2 linked regions of the Diceros bicornis minor genome follow. The protein of the gene in region 1 binds, or shares a complex with, the protein of each later gene. Links are inferred from orthologs where the notes say so. Each region holds a gene or a part of one and is shown in the gene's direction. Other genes may lie near its edges.

What was found. Proteins that work in one complex are often made in the same cells at the same time.
Region 2: the proteins of SIAH1 (region 1) and CACYBP are in contact, whole or in part, in a crystal structure (PDB 2A25), measured with the Homo sapiens proteins. The link is inferred for Diceros bicornis minor from reciprocal best matches to the Homo sapiens genes SIAH1 and CACYBP. Residues at the interface, in NP_003022.3 of Homo sapiens: Leu158, Gln159, Asp162, Ile163, Val164, Phe165, Leu166, Ala167, Thr168, Val176, Asp177, Trp178, Val179, Met180, Asn276; in NP_055227.1 of Homo sapiens: Lys59, Pro60, Ala61, Ala62, Val63, Val64, Ala65, Pro66, Ile67.

The regions. Positions count from the first base shown.
Region 1 is NC_080771.1:2,321,144-2,327,331, reverse strand, and holds the start of SIAH1 (E3 ubiquitin-protein ligase SIAH1), read left to right. Parts: upstream 1-1,950; 5' UTR 1,951-2,461; coding exon 2,462-2,561; intron 2,562-5,361; coding exon 5,362-6,188. UniProt on the Homo sapiens protein: E3 ubiquitin-protein ligase that mediates ubiquitination and subsequent proteasomal degradation of target proteins.
Region 2 is NC_080743.1:91,513,407-91,519,594, reverse strand, and holds the start of CACYBP (calcyclin-binding protein), read left to right. Parts: upstream 1-2,954; 5' UTR 2,955-3,100; coding exon 3,101-3,121; intron 3,122-3,966; exon of another isoform or gene 3,967-4,015; intron 4,016-6,188. UniProt on the Homo sapiens protein: May be involved in calcium-dependent ubiquitination and subsequent proteasomal degradation of target proteins. Probably serves as a molecular bridge in ubiquitin E3 complexes. Participates in the ubiquitin-mediated degradation of beta-catenin (CTNNB1).

The DNA.
Region 1 (6,188 bases):
GTCATTTATGAAAGGAAGCAAAGGTTCTCACATGAAATTGAGAATAAAAGTTTATAAGTCCATCTCCTTCTACTGTTAAGTATATTAATGTGGCAAAGCATGGTTAAATGCTCTGAAATTACTAAGACAACGTTAAAGGCTGATTCTAAAATGTTTTGATTTAGATTAAAATCTATTTAAACTTTATACCAAACTGGGCTTGAGATGTAGGCTTTAGAAAGTGTAGATAATGGTACACTCTTGCCAAAATTTGAGTTTTTGCTAACTTTGGGATCTATGGGCTTGTCTTAATGTAATGTAGTTTTTGTGAAATTTTCAGCTCTTTGTAAAACCAGTGTAAGTAAATTTCTATCTAGTCGAGAAATTCTGTTAAGGTTTATTATGCTAAAAATTAGGTAAATGGCAGTTGATCTTTGGCAGACATGTTTGATCATTTGTACAAGCTCAAGGCATTTTTTAGAGTGTGTATCTGGAACCCACAAGTTCTAGCTCTCTAAGTAGTTGATGACCTCAGGCAGAGCAGGAAACTTTCAGAGGTCTCAGGTGAATACTTACTTATTTTGGAGTATGTACCACCTATGATATACATAAATTACCCATCTCCCTTAATCCAGACAAAAGCCACGGGAGGCGGGAAATATTGTGCCAGTTTTAAAGCTGAGGAGGTGGTGAAGACTGGGTTTGAATCCAAGTGTAGATGACTCTAGAACACCCGCACTTTTACCGTCCTGACTCACTTTTGGTAAGTTGAGAGGTTTGTCCATAGATTAATGATTTTCAGACGGTGCTGTAAGGCTCTGTGCTGACCCTTTGAAAGTCTGGGAAAAAATGAAATATTTTTTTGCTCGAGGAATCAGTTATCCCCCCTTGTTTTATGCATGTGGCTTCTGTCTTAATTCTCTTTGGAAAGAATTTCTCTGCCTAAAACATTTGAAGTCTCCTGCGCTAGAAACCAGAGGCACATCTAGAATGAATATGTATTAGAAAATAAAAACGTAGGTGATAGTAGTTTATATTTGTCAATGGACAGACTGTATCTGTTTTCAATTATATTTCTATTCCTAATGATACTTTGTGTAGCCTAATATTAAGATGAGGTCAAGGTGATTGAACAAACTATTAATAGGGTGGGGATGTGATTAGAGTTAAAATTTGATACTGAAAGTGGGTAATCTACAGTTTCCTGCACTGGGCTCACTCCCCACACCAGCTCTTGCTGCGTTTAAAGGCTGCCCTAAGCATGATGTCATGACGAGTTAAACCTCTGAATGCACTAGCTGAGGCGATGCAAATCTGAGACCCAGGATTTGATTGGGGCAAGGGTATTGCTTGTTTAAAAACAAAACAAGCTGCTCTATTTAATGAGGCCATTTAAGATGGCTTTCCCAGAGAGAGAATATAATCTCAATTTGGAGGTTAAAGTAGGAGTTTAATATGGTTATGTGTGTTTACTTCTCTCACTGCAAAGTCTTTTCGGAGAGAAGGGGAGTTTAAAATATGGTGCCGACGGGTAGAAATGGAAAAGTGAGTTAGAATTGAGGAAATACAGTAGTTGACGCCCCGTAAATAGTTACTGAATGAAGTGGGGAGAATGCTTTTACTCTATAAAAAGTTAAGAGTTCGCACGGTTTATCAGCAGGGTATAGTGCAGAGAAGAGCGCTTGTGTGGCCACATGTTTCCTAGACTCTCTGTAGTTCTTGGGTTGAAACCGTACGCAATTGCCGATATCCGACTATTTCGGCCTTCAAAAATGGCATGTTTCGTCCTAAATGTATGCTGGTGGAATGCTGAGGCGTGCACAATGTCGCTGGGGTAGGGGTTTTGCCCCGCTGGGTGGGAGTCGCACAAGGTGGGGCCCGGGTGCTGCGCTGGGCCGGTGGGGTGGAGCTTGCTGGCCCCTGAGCCCTGCCCCTCCCGCCGGCCCCGCCCCGCGCCGGGCGGGCGGCAGTGCCTTGGGCGCCGCAGTGAGGCCGGCTGGCGCTCCCGGTTGGAGCAGGCCTTCCCAGTTGCGACCCGGCTCCAGCTCCCGCTCCAAACGGACCTCCTGGCGGGCCGGACCCTGCAGTAGCTCCAGAGCCGCCTCGGAGAGCGCGCCTCCTCCCCCCGCCGCCGCACACTCTGCAGCCGCGTCCTTCACCAGAGCTGGCCGGAGCCTAGCTGATGAATCTGGGGACGACAGACTTCCAAGACAGACCGAGGTTTAGGGCCCAGCAGAGGATAGCTCAGCGATGGCTCCCATTTTTGGAGACGCAGGCAAATTTGAGCTCCCGGGAAGGTGTGGTCGACTCCTCTGTCTTTGCCTCCGTAGCCCGTGCTTCTGCAGAGTGAATGGAGTGTCTGGAGCAGGGCCCTGACCGTCGCTTCTTGGCAGCGGACATGCTTAGGAAGGTGTCCAGGAAGGGCCTCTGTTACAGATTGTCTTTGCTTCTGGGGCAGCGGCTATGAGTTGCCCGATTTCCAATGACCGGGAAGTCCGGGAAGTCTGCCTTACCTTTTCTGTGCTCCTGGAGGGGCATCTTGCTCACTTGTTTACCAGCAGCTGGGACAAGGAAGAGAAAAGGTATTGACATTAAGAGACTGGTTGGGGCCCGCCCGGTGGCGCAAGGGGTTCAGCGCCCGCGCTCCGCTGCCGAGGCCCGGAGTTCACCGGGTCGGATCCCACACCGAGGCACTGCTTGGCAGGCCATGCTGTGGTGGCGTCCCATAAGGAAGATGGGCACGGATGTTAGCCCAGGGCCAGTCTTCCTCAGCAAACAAAGAGGAGGATTGGCAGATGTTAGCACAGGGCTGATCTTCCTCACAAAAAAAAAAAAAAGAGAGAGAGACTGGTTGCTTAAACTGTGAAACGGGACAAAGTTGTTGTAAGCCAGGGGAATCTGACTGGATCAGGGAATAGCTGCAGCATAATTGAGCTCACAGTGACGTTTCTTTTGATCTGCTGTACTTTTCTCAGTTTAAATCAAATTTCACGTTATGTCATGACTTCTGCAGGGTTGTCCAAAGACACTTGAGTCCTTGGTTCCTACTGCAGGGCTGCTGTGTGGTTGGGATTCTTTTTCTGTTTGAAGATGGAGCTAGGTTCCCACCTCTGGAGCTTTGGGAGGTTTTAGCAGCTGCTCTCTTGTAATACCTCCATTCACAAGAAATATTGGCTACATGTCACTTGTTTTCACACTTTGAATAGGAATTTAAATTGTGCTTTCTAGAATGTTTGGAAAAATAAGAAAGATACATTGTAACATGAGCCTGAACTATTGATGATAAACATATAACTGTTTTGCTAGGTCAAGAAATTAAAGTGTTTTTCTTGCTTAGTAAGTTACATTATGTTGATTTGATTACAAACTGAGTTTACTGCCCCTCCATGTGATTAGCTGTTTTGGTTTAGTGATTTGAAAGGCATTGGTGGCTTAGACTGTTTTGTGCTCAAGGAGCCACTTTCCATTTATTATGTTTGCTCACTTCAGTGAGCAGCATAAAATGGACCATGAAATAGACATACAGCATACATACAGGGCGTTTGGGCAATGCTGACCCATTGTTTTACAAGTGACCTAAAATGATGGATCATCATATGCACAAAGAATCTCCTCAGGGGGAAGCTGGATTACAAGAGAGTACCTTTATAGTCTCTTTGTTGGGCTAGGACACCTGTGGTGTACAGGGCTTCGATGATGGGAACTGATTCGTGTGCTCCATGTGATGAGCTACATTATGGTGGAATTCTGCTGTACTTTTGTTTCCCTTTGAACTTTAGAGAGAGTGGAATTTATCTTTTTTTTCTCTTTGCATCCTCAACCCCCATTTAAGGTGTGTATCCTTGAGTAATCTAGAACTCAGATTGTATTTACATGGTCACATTGGTAACCAGCATTGTTTTTTGAAAGTTAAATTCTTTGAAACAGAATAACAATTATAATTGAGAAAACATTAAATTTGAGGCATTAAATTTTAATTTTGTGGAAATATGGCTTATATAGTTACTGGGAGTACACTCCTGGACATCGACTGCTCTTTTGTCACCCCCCAGATAAACAGTGGCCTGCCGTATCCCAGCAAAGGTAGATTCCTGGGAAAAGGTGCTTGTGTCATCTTTCCTTCAGTCTGACAAGTTAGTTACATTGTTGATCATTCCTTCCAGATGACATTTCTCTCTTAAATAATAATGTTTATTACTGTGCTGATGAACGCTCCAGCAACATTGGTGAACTCTAGGGTACAAGGAATTCTTTAGCTGTTGACTCTTTCCCTGAGCTCCAATGTTGTGAGTGTGTGTCTGGTGCTTTTATATTTATTCTTTTTTTTTCCTTCTTGAGGAAGATTTGCCCTGAGCTAGCGTCTGTTACCAATCTTCCTCTTTTTTTGCTTGAGGAAGATTGTTGCTGAGCTATCATCCGTGCCCATTTTCCTCTATTTTGTATATGGGACACGACCACAGCATGGCTTGATGAGCAGTGTGTAGATTCAGGCCTGGGATCGGAACCTGCGAACCCTGGCTGCTGAAGTGGAGTGCGTGAACTTAACCACTATGCCACAGGGCTGGCCCCTGTCTTCCTTATTTACCTTCTTTTCCTTGCTTTCCTTCTCCTTTGCAAATTATATCTGATTTATATTAATGGAATGGAAGTAGACTAGAATGATTTACTTTCTCTAAGTACCAGACTAAAAACTTTGAGGATGGCCCTCCATTTCTCTTGTCCCTCTTTTGAGGGAGGTACTGATCAGTAGGAAACAAGATTAATACCCAGCTAATGTTAAGGAGCTAGAGGATGAAGATGGAGGATGGCAGCAGGCCCTTCCCCTTGCGATGCCCTCCATTCCCCAAATATGCCTCTAGAGCAGATAACTGTTCACCATTAAGAGGAATTAATCAAAGTCAACTCCCTGGGGATCCTTTGGATCACTTACAAGGCCCTGTAGCTTTCAACAGCTGACACAGAATGGGAAAGAAATAGACTGAGTAGGGAAATTGAACACAGGGAGGAGAAAGTCCAATCAAAATTGACTTGATTGAACTTAAGCTTAGTTGTTTCTGGTCCAGTTTCTCTTTCAGCATTTATTCCATGTAGTCCATCCAGGGACAATTTTTAACATTTTTTTAAGAAAGGGAATTCTAAATGTGTTCTGGAACATTTTGAAAAGAGATTTTATCCAGTGTACAACTCCTAATAATCAAAATGTATATTTTATGTCATTTATATGTTTTTTAACCTATTTATTTTCCTTTATTCTTTTGCTCACAGTAAATTTTGCATGGAGCTTCAGTATTTCTGGCATGTAAACATTATTTATAAAATAAGTTATAGTTGTAATTATTTTTCTCCTGCCTCCTTTTATTTTTATTCATGTTTTTATTACAGAAATGAGCCGTCAGACTGCAACAGCATTACCTACTGGAACCTCAAAGTGTACACCGTCCCAGAGGGTGCCTGCCCTGACTGGCACAACTGCGTCCAACAATGACTTGGCGAGTCTTTTTGAGTGTCCGGTCTGCTTTGACTATGTGTTACCACCCATTCTTCAATGTCAGAGTGGCCATCTCGTTTGTAGCAACTGTCGCCCAAAGCTCACATGTTGTCCAACTTGCCGGGGCCCATTGGGATCCATTCGCAACTTGGCTATGGAGAAGGTGGCCAATTCAGTACTTTTCCCTTGTAAATATGCCTCTTCTGGATGTGAAATAACTCTGCCACACACAGAAAAAGCAGACCACGAGGAGCTCTGTGAGTTTAGGCCTTATTCCTGTCCGTGCCCTGGTGCTTCCTGTAAATGGCAAGGCTCTTTGGATGCTGTGATGCCCCACCTGATGCATCAGCATAAATCCATTACAACCCTGCAGGGAGAGGATATAGTTTTCCTTGCTACAGACATTAATCTTCCTGGTGCTGTTGACTGGGTGATGATGCAGTCCTGTTTTGGCTTTCACTTCATGTTAGTCTTGGAGAAACAGGAAAAATACGATGGTCACCAGCAGTTCTTTGCAATTGTACAGCTGATAGGAACACGCAAACAAGCTGAAAATTTTGCTTATCGACTTGAGCTAAATGGTCATAGGCGGCGATTGACTTGGGAAGCAACTCCTCGATCTATTCATGAGGGAATTGCAACAGCCATTATGAATAGTGACTGCCTAGTCTTTGATACCAGCATTGCACAGCTTTTTGCAGAAAATGGCAATTTAGGCATC
Region 2 (6,188 bases), on another chromosome or scaffold:
CTCAAAACAAGTTTTCCCTGCTTCTGAGTGTACAACTTCCAAGTTTACGTATCCTCTCTAAAAGTGATCAGCAGAGATGGACTAGCATCTCAGGGGCCCAATTCCAAAACCTTGCACAAATCTGATTGGCTAATCCTGCATTAGGTGTCTGCTGCTAGTCTTTCAGGGTACAGCACAGTGACAGCATAGAATCAGACAGCACTCCAGAGGCTTCATGGAGCCGGAGGCAGGGCACAGAGAATCCTGATTCACATTTTGTTCTAATTTCCATTTTCTGAGAGTGAATGAAACCTAAGTAAGAGCTAAGAGATTAGTCAGCTCCTCTTAGAATTCAGCATATATTTAAAAAATATTAATCAGATATTCTAAAATTACAGTTGGTGGCCCAAACCCTGACCACAGACAGCTTGTTTTGGCCCATGTGATATTCTAAAGGAGAAATTTTATGTAAAAAGTAAAGGAGTCAAATTATTCAGAAAATATCTACTGAATTTGGCAGTTATGAGGTCATGAGTGGTCTTGACATGAACAGGAAGTGGAACTCACTGCTCACTATTGATTCAAGGTCCTACACTTAGTGAAGTTACATGGTAACCTCCAGATGTTGGTACAGGAGGGATGCAGATTTCTACTTTCCAGTGGAAGAGGTAACTCCAGAGGTCATATGTAGTTTATTACCCTGTAGGACATTAACCAGTTTGTATCTAACTTCACAACCTTACACTAACATTCCATTGTTAAATTGTCTGTAAGTACCCAGCTTTGCAAAGGCACTTTGATAACAGTTTTAACATCTTATTGGTTCCCTCGTTAACTAATGAGGCGAATACAACGTTTGGCTTGGTCTTGGGTGGTAGCAGGGGAGCTTGTGAGAAGTGGTTTGATTTCTAGACATATTTTGAAGGTAAAGCCAGCAAGACTTGCTATACGATGGGAGGTAGGACCTGAGACTGAGACTTATGACTCCTTGGCATGAGCAGTTAACGAGCACGAGCTGACTAGGCACAGAGCTGGAGAAGAATTGGAGGAACTGATTTGGGGTGCGAGGATGAAAAATTGGGAGGAGGAGTTTTTTTTGTTTTTTAGACAAGCTGAATTTCCTCATTCTACATCCAAGCAGAAGCCAAGTCTGGAGCTCAGAAGCATAGTGGAGCTGAAGATATAGATTCAGGAGTCACTGGATAATAAACAGTATTTCATATCTCATGACTTTAGGATATGTGGGGGGAGGAGTTGCCCCAGGTGCATAATCAAGCAAATTTCAAAATCACTGCATTAGGTCAAGCTTTCACACAGTGCAATGGGATATTTGTTCCTATTAAGTACCTAAATAATTCCAAGCTTTCCGGTGGACATTTTTTAAAAAACTGACATATAATATACAATAAAAGCACAGATCTTAGGAGTTCATTCTATGAATTTTGACAACTGTATGTGTGTGTAACATTTCTATCATCTCGGGAAAATTCCCTCCTGGGCCTACTTAAATAACTTGTAGTTAAGCATAACATACAAAAGGAACTACACAAATGTAAGTTTACAGCACAATGAAATTTCTACAAAGTGAACACACCTGTAACCAGCATCCAACTCAAGAAACAGAACATTATCTGAACCTCAAAAGCTCCCTCGCGGCTCCTTTCTATCATGGTCCTCCCCACCCCAGGAAGGACTATCCTGATTTTTAACACTCTAGGCTAGTTTTACTGTTTTTAGACTTCATTTAAATGGAACCAAACGATATGTACTTTTCTATGTCTGGCTTCTTTCCTTGAACGTCATGTTTGTGAGATTCAGGCACGTTGTGTGTGGCTGTAATTTGACTATTTTCGTACTGTACTTCTGATTCCTCTTTACTACGATAACGGTCAGTCTGCATTTTCCTAGTAGCCTTTTTCCTTCTCTGACTTGCTGATCCTACTCGCTATCTTGCGTGACACATAAAGCTGAGTGCAGGCTATCTGACTTCTCAGAGATTACTGTTTATGTTCTCAACCATGTTGCAGAAATCATGAGGCTGCAAAAGGCTAAAATGGTCCGAAAAGTGGGTTTCTCAGGGGCCTTACTAAGCGGGGCTGCTGGAACCAGAAGGGGGGCAGAATGCAGGCCCGGGAAAACTCAACCCACATTTTCTCTGATGCTAACAGGCTCACTTAAAACGAATCCAAACCCGGGTGAGAACCAGAGACTCGCAGAACAGTTGGTCAAGAGGGCGAAGGCACCAGGGAGGGGCTTCGACAGTCACGAGGGAAAGGCGGAAGCACAATAACCGTCGGAGGGCGAGGCGCCTCGTACGGGAAACCTTAACCCTCGGCTGCGACATGGGGTCCGGTCACGTAGCGAACTCAACCCCACCTCCCAGCGCAGCCCTTGATGACGCCGCCACGTCGCAGATGCTAAATCGTGGTGATGTCTCCAGAGCGCCAGAACCCACTGAAAAACCAAAGGAGCCCCCACACTTAACGTCCTCGTTCGTTCCCGTTTTAAAATAAATAGGCTGCCCATGCTCCCCCTTATTTCGTCCTTTCCTCGCAAAGGCTCACAGACTACCCCCAGACAAAAATGCCTGCCTCGTTGGCCCGGTGTCCTAGAGGGGACGGAAGCAGCCGCCTCTCTAGGCAACTTCCGATTTGGACCCCGAAGATCGGTACGTTACTTCCGGGGTGGGGTTAAGGTACGGAAGGCAGTGGTTCCGAGCTGCGACTGCGCAGCCGGGGCAAACGGGGTCAAAGTATTAAACGTTCAGTTCCCGGGGCGGAGAGGAAGAGGCGTTACTCTTCTCGAACTGTCAGTTTGCTCGCGAGAGTTGAGCGTTGCTACGAGGTTCGGCGGGCGGAGCGGGCCAGGCTCGGCTGGGCGGGGCTGAGCTCAGCGGGCGGCGCTCGGGGGGCGGGGAAGCGCGGCGACGGGCTCGCGAAGGTTCCAGAGGCGCCGCGTGCGGGAGGCGGGCCGCGGTCTCGCGCAGGGTCGGGTGTGCGCACAGGCTGCGAGCCCTGCGACTCGTGCCCGCGGTCTGCGCTCGGCGGAGCGCGCTCGGGGCGGCGTTTCCTGCTCTCCCTGGTGCGTCTGCAGCCCCGGCCTCGCGTGACCCAGCCCGGCCATGGCTTCAGCTCCGGAGGAGGTAAGGGGCCGGCCTCGCCTTCCTCCCGGCCCTGCTGCGGCTCTCAGCGCCCCCGCCCGTGCTGAGCTGCCCCGGGGGTCCCCGCGCTTCGCTCGCGCACCTGCAGCGGCGCGTGGTGCCGCCCGGCCCCGCGGGCCTCCGCTTCCCGGGAAAATCGCCGCTCGGCCCCGGCCCGCGCTCAGCGGGCCCTCCGGAGGGTGGGGAACGGGGGTGTGTCGTGAGCCTCGGCGCCGGCGGTGCCGCTGGTGGCCTGGAGCGCGCCGGTCACCGTCGCGTTTTCCTCGGGCCCTTCCGCTCCCGTTATACGGGCCCGAGGACGGAGGGCCTCGTTAAATTAAAGCTGATGGCCAAACCTGGGTGTCGTTGCGTGCTGGGAAGCCCTGGGAAGGTGAGCAGTCTTGGGTCCCAGCACTTGGATTCTCCTCGTGTCTTCTCTACACGGACGACCAGCTCTGTGACTTTGGGCAGGTGACGGTGCTGCGCCGTGCCGCAGGAGTATCCGTTTCCGAGGGTGAGAAGGACGGAGTGCTTGTTGTAAATGTTGAAAACAGTGCTGGGCGCAGAGCAGTCTGCTATATGCGTTTTTAAAAGTAAATACATTGGAAAGTTGTAACTAGCGGTAGGAAATAGTCTTTTTCTCTTTTAAGCTCGATGAACTCTGAACAGGGGCAGCTTAACTTGTTTGCAGACGTAGTTTGCGCGGGTACAAAATGGGAATAATGATTCTTGCGTCGCTCTTCCTGGCCTGAGTAGCCTGTCAATACCTAACACTTATTCACAGTGAAGTGTTGGGTGTGTATTAACTGGATTTGTTTTCTGGAAATTTTTTCCTCAATATGAACAAGCCTGAGAAATCTCAAATAAATCTAAGAAGCTGCCTAAAATGAAGAAAAGGTGTGTATGTGTTTAGTATTATTCTGAATAACTTCCACGAGTTTGTTGTGATAGAGACAGGACTTGGGTTACCATGGGCCCCGAGGAAGAATCTCTGAAGTGACTTGACAGTCATACCTATGGGGAGCTCAGTGTTAATCTTCTTCCAAGTAAGGGACTTTCTCAATTGAGGTACTTAAAAATATACAGTTAGGGACACTTGGGGGGGGAGTGTTTTAGATAAAATTCACTGTAACCATTTTAAAGTGTACAATTTAGTGCTTTTTAGTATATTCATAGTGTTGCACAACCATCACTAACTACAGAATATTTCATTACCCCCAAAAGAAACCTAAGTGTCCATTAAGCAGTCACTCCCCATTTCCCTTCCCCCCGCCCCAGCAAGCACTAATCTACATTCTGTCTCTATGGGTTTGCCTATTCTGGGCACTTCGTATATATGGAGTCTTAGAATATGTGGCCTTTGCTTTTTGCCTTCTTTCACTTAGCATAATGTTTTCAAGTTCATCCATGGTGTGGCATGTATTCCTTTTTATGGCTGAATAATATTCCATCGTATGGATTTAGCACATTTTGTTTATCCATTCATCATTGATGGGCATTTGGATTCTTTCCACTTTTTGGTTATTATGAACAATGCTGCCAGGAATACTTGTGTAGGACTTTTTACGTGAATGTTATGTTTTCAGTTCTCTAAGGTTTATACCTAGGAGTCGAATTGCAGGGGCATATGATAACTAACTCTCAGAAACTGATAAACTCTTTTCCAGATGGCTGCACCATTTTACATTTCTACAAGCAATGTATGAAGGTTCCAATTTCTGCACATGCTTGTCAACACTTATTATTTTCTGGGATTTTGTATTTTGTTGTTGACGTTAGCCATCCTGGTGAGTGTGAAGTGGTAGCTCACTGTGGTTTTGATGTACATTTCCTTAATGACTACTAATGTTGAGTATCTTTTCATGTGCTTGCTGGCCATTGTATGTATCTTTGGAGAAATGTCTAAGACCTTTGCCCATTTCAGAGCACTTTGGTTTTAATGCCTTCTAGTGAAGAATTTGTAAATAGATTAGACGATAAAGCTTGAATGTTTGTGGAAAGGGAAATGCAGTTTGCATAAGGAAAACAGATGAATGCCAAGATCAGTTAGATGAGAAACTGCTGTAGCTAAGAGCTCTTAAAGTGTGTGTGCAGGAAAAGCACCAGAGGGATCGCTCTTACTGGTTTCAGGTCTGCCAGTAACAGAACAGAGGAGTTACCTGAACCAGGCCTGCTGTAAGACCTCGCTGGTGTACTACTTCAGAGCCAAAACTGGCCAGAAAGGGGGCCTGGGAATCTCGTGCTTCATTCTGAGTTCTTTTCTGAATCTCCAACAGAAAGGATTCCTGTTCTAGTCAAGAAGTAAAACGCCTTGTTTAGACTTGATACATTTTCCTTTCTTTTCTTTTTTTAACTCTAGGAACAGGTATACTCATTTTACATTTCATTACTTTTATCATGTTGGTATTAGAATCAATGTGAATTTTTTAAAACCATTATAATAAAAAAGATTGCTTTGAACTAAAGCATCTTGGTTCTATGCTCAAAAGATGAGTTTGTAATTATTTTCGTCTTAGTAATATGATTTTGGGGGAGGGCGTAGAGTATGGACAGTAGACTGGGCCCAGTTGGATTCTGTACTATGTTATCAGTTGCAGACAGGTGAAACAGGGCATCTCAGTTAAATGAGATAATATAAGGCTTGGGTAAAAGAAAAGCATTCGTTTTTCTGTTACTGCATTTTATAAGACTATTAAGAAACAAAGGCCCGGCCCCGTGGCTTAGCGGTTAAGTGCTCGAGATCCACTGCTGGCGGCCCGGGTTCGGATCCCGGGCGTGCACTGAGGCACCGCTTCTCCAGCCATGCTGAGGCCGCGTCCCACATACAGCAACTAGAAGGATGTGCAGCTATGACATACAACTATCTACTGGGGCTTTGGGGGGAAAATAAATAAATAAATAAATTGTTAAAAACAAAAAAAAAAGAAACAAAGACTTTCAAACTCAGTGTTTAGGATATTATACTGAGTTATCAAGCATTTGAAGATTTTTATATTGAGCCTTTCGTGTGATCTCAGGCTGTGATGTAAGAGTCTTCCTGTCAGATTGCTAGTATCAAGCCAGAATGTAA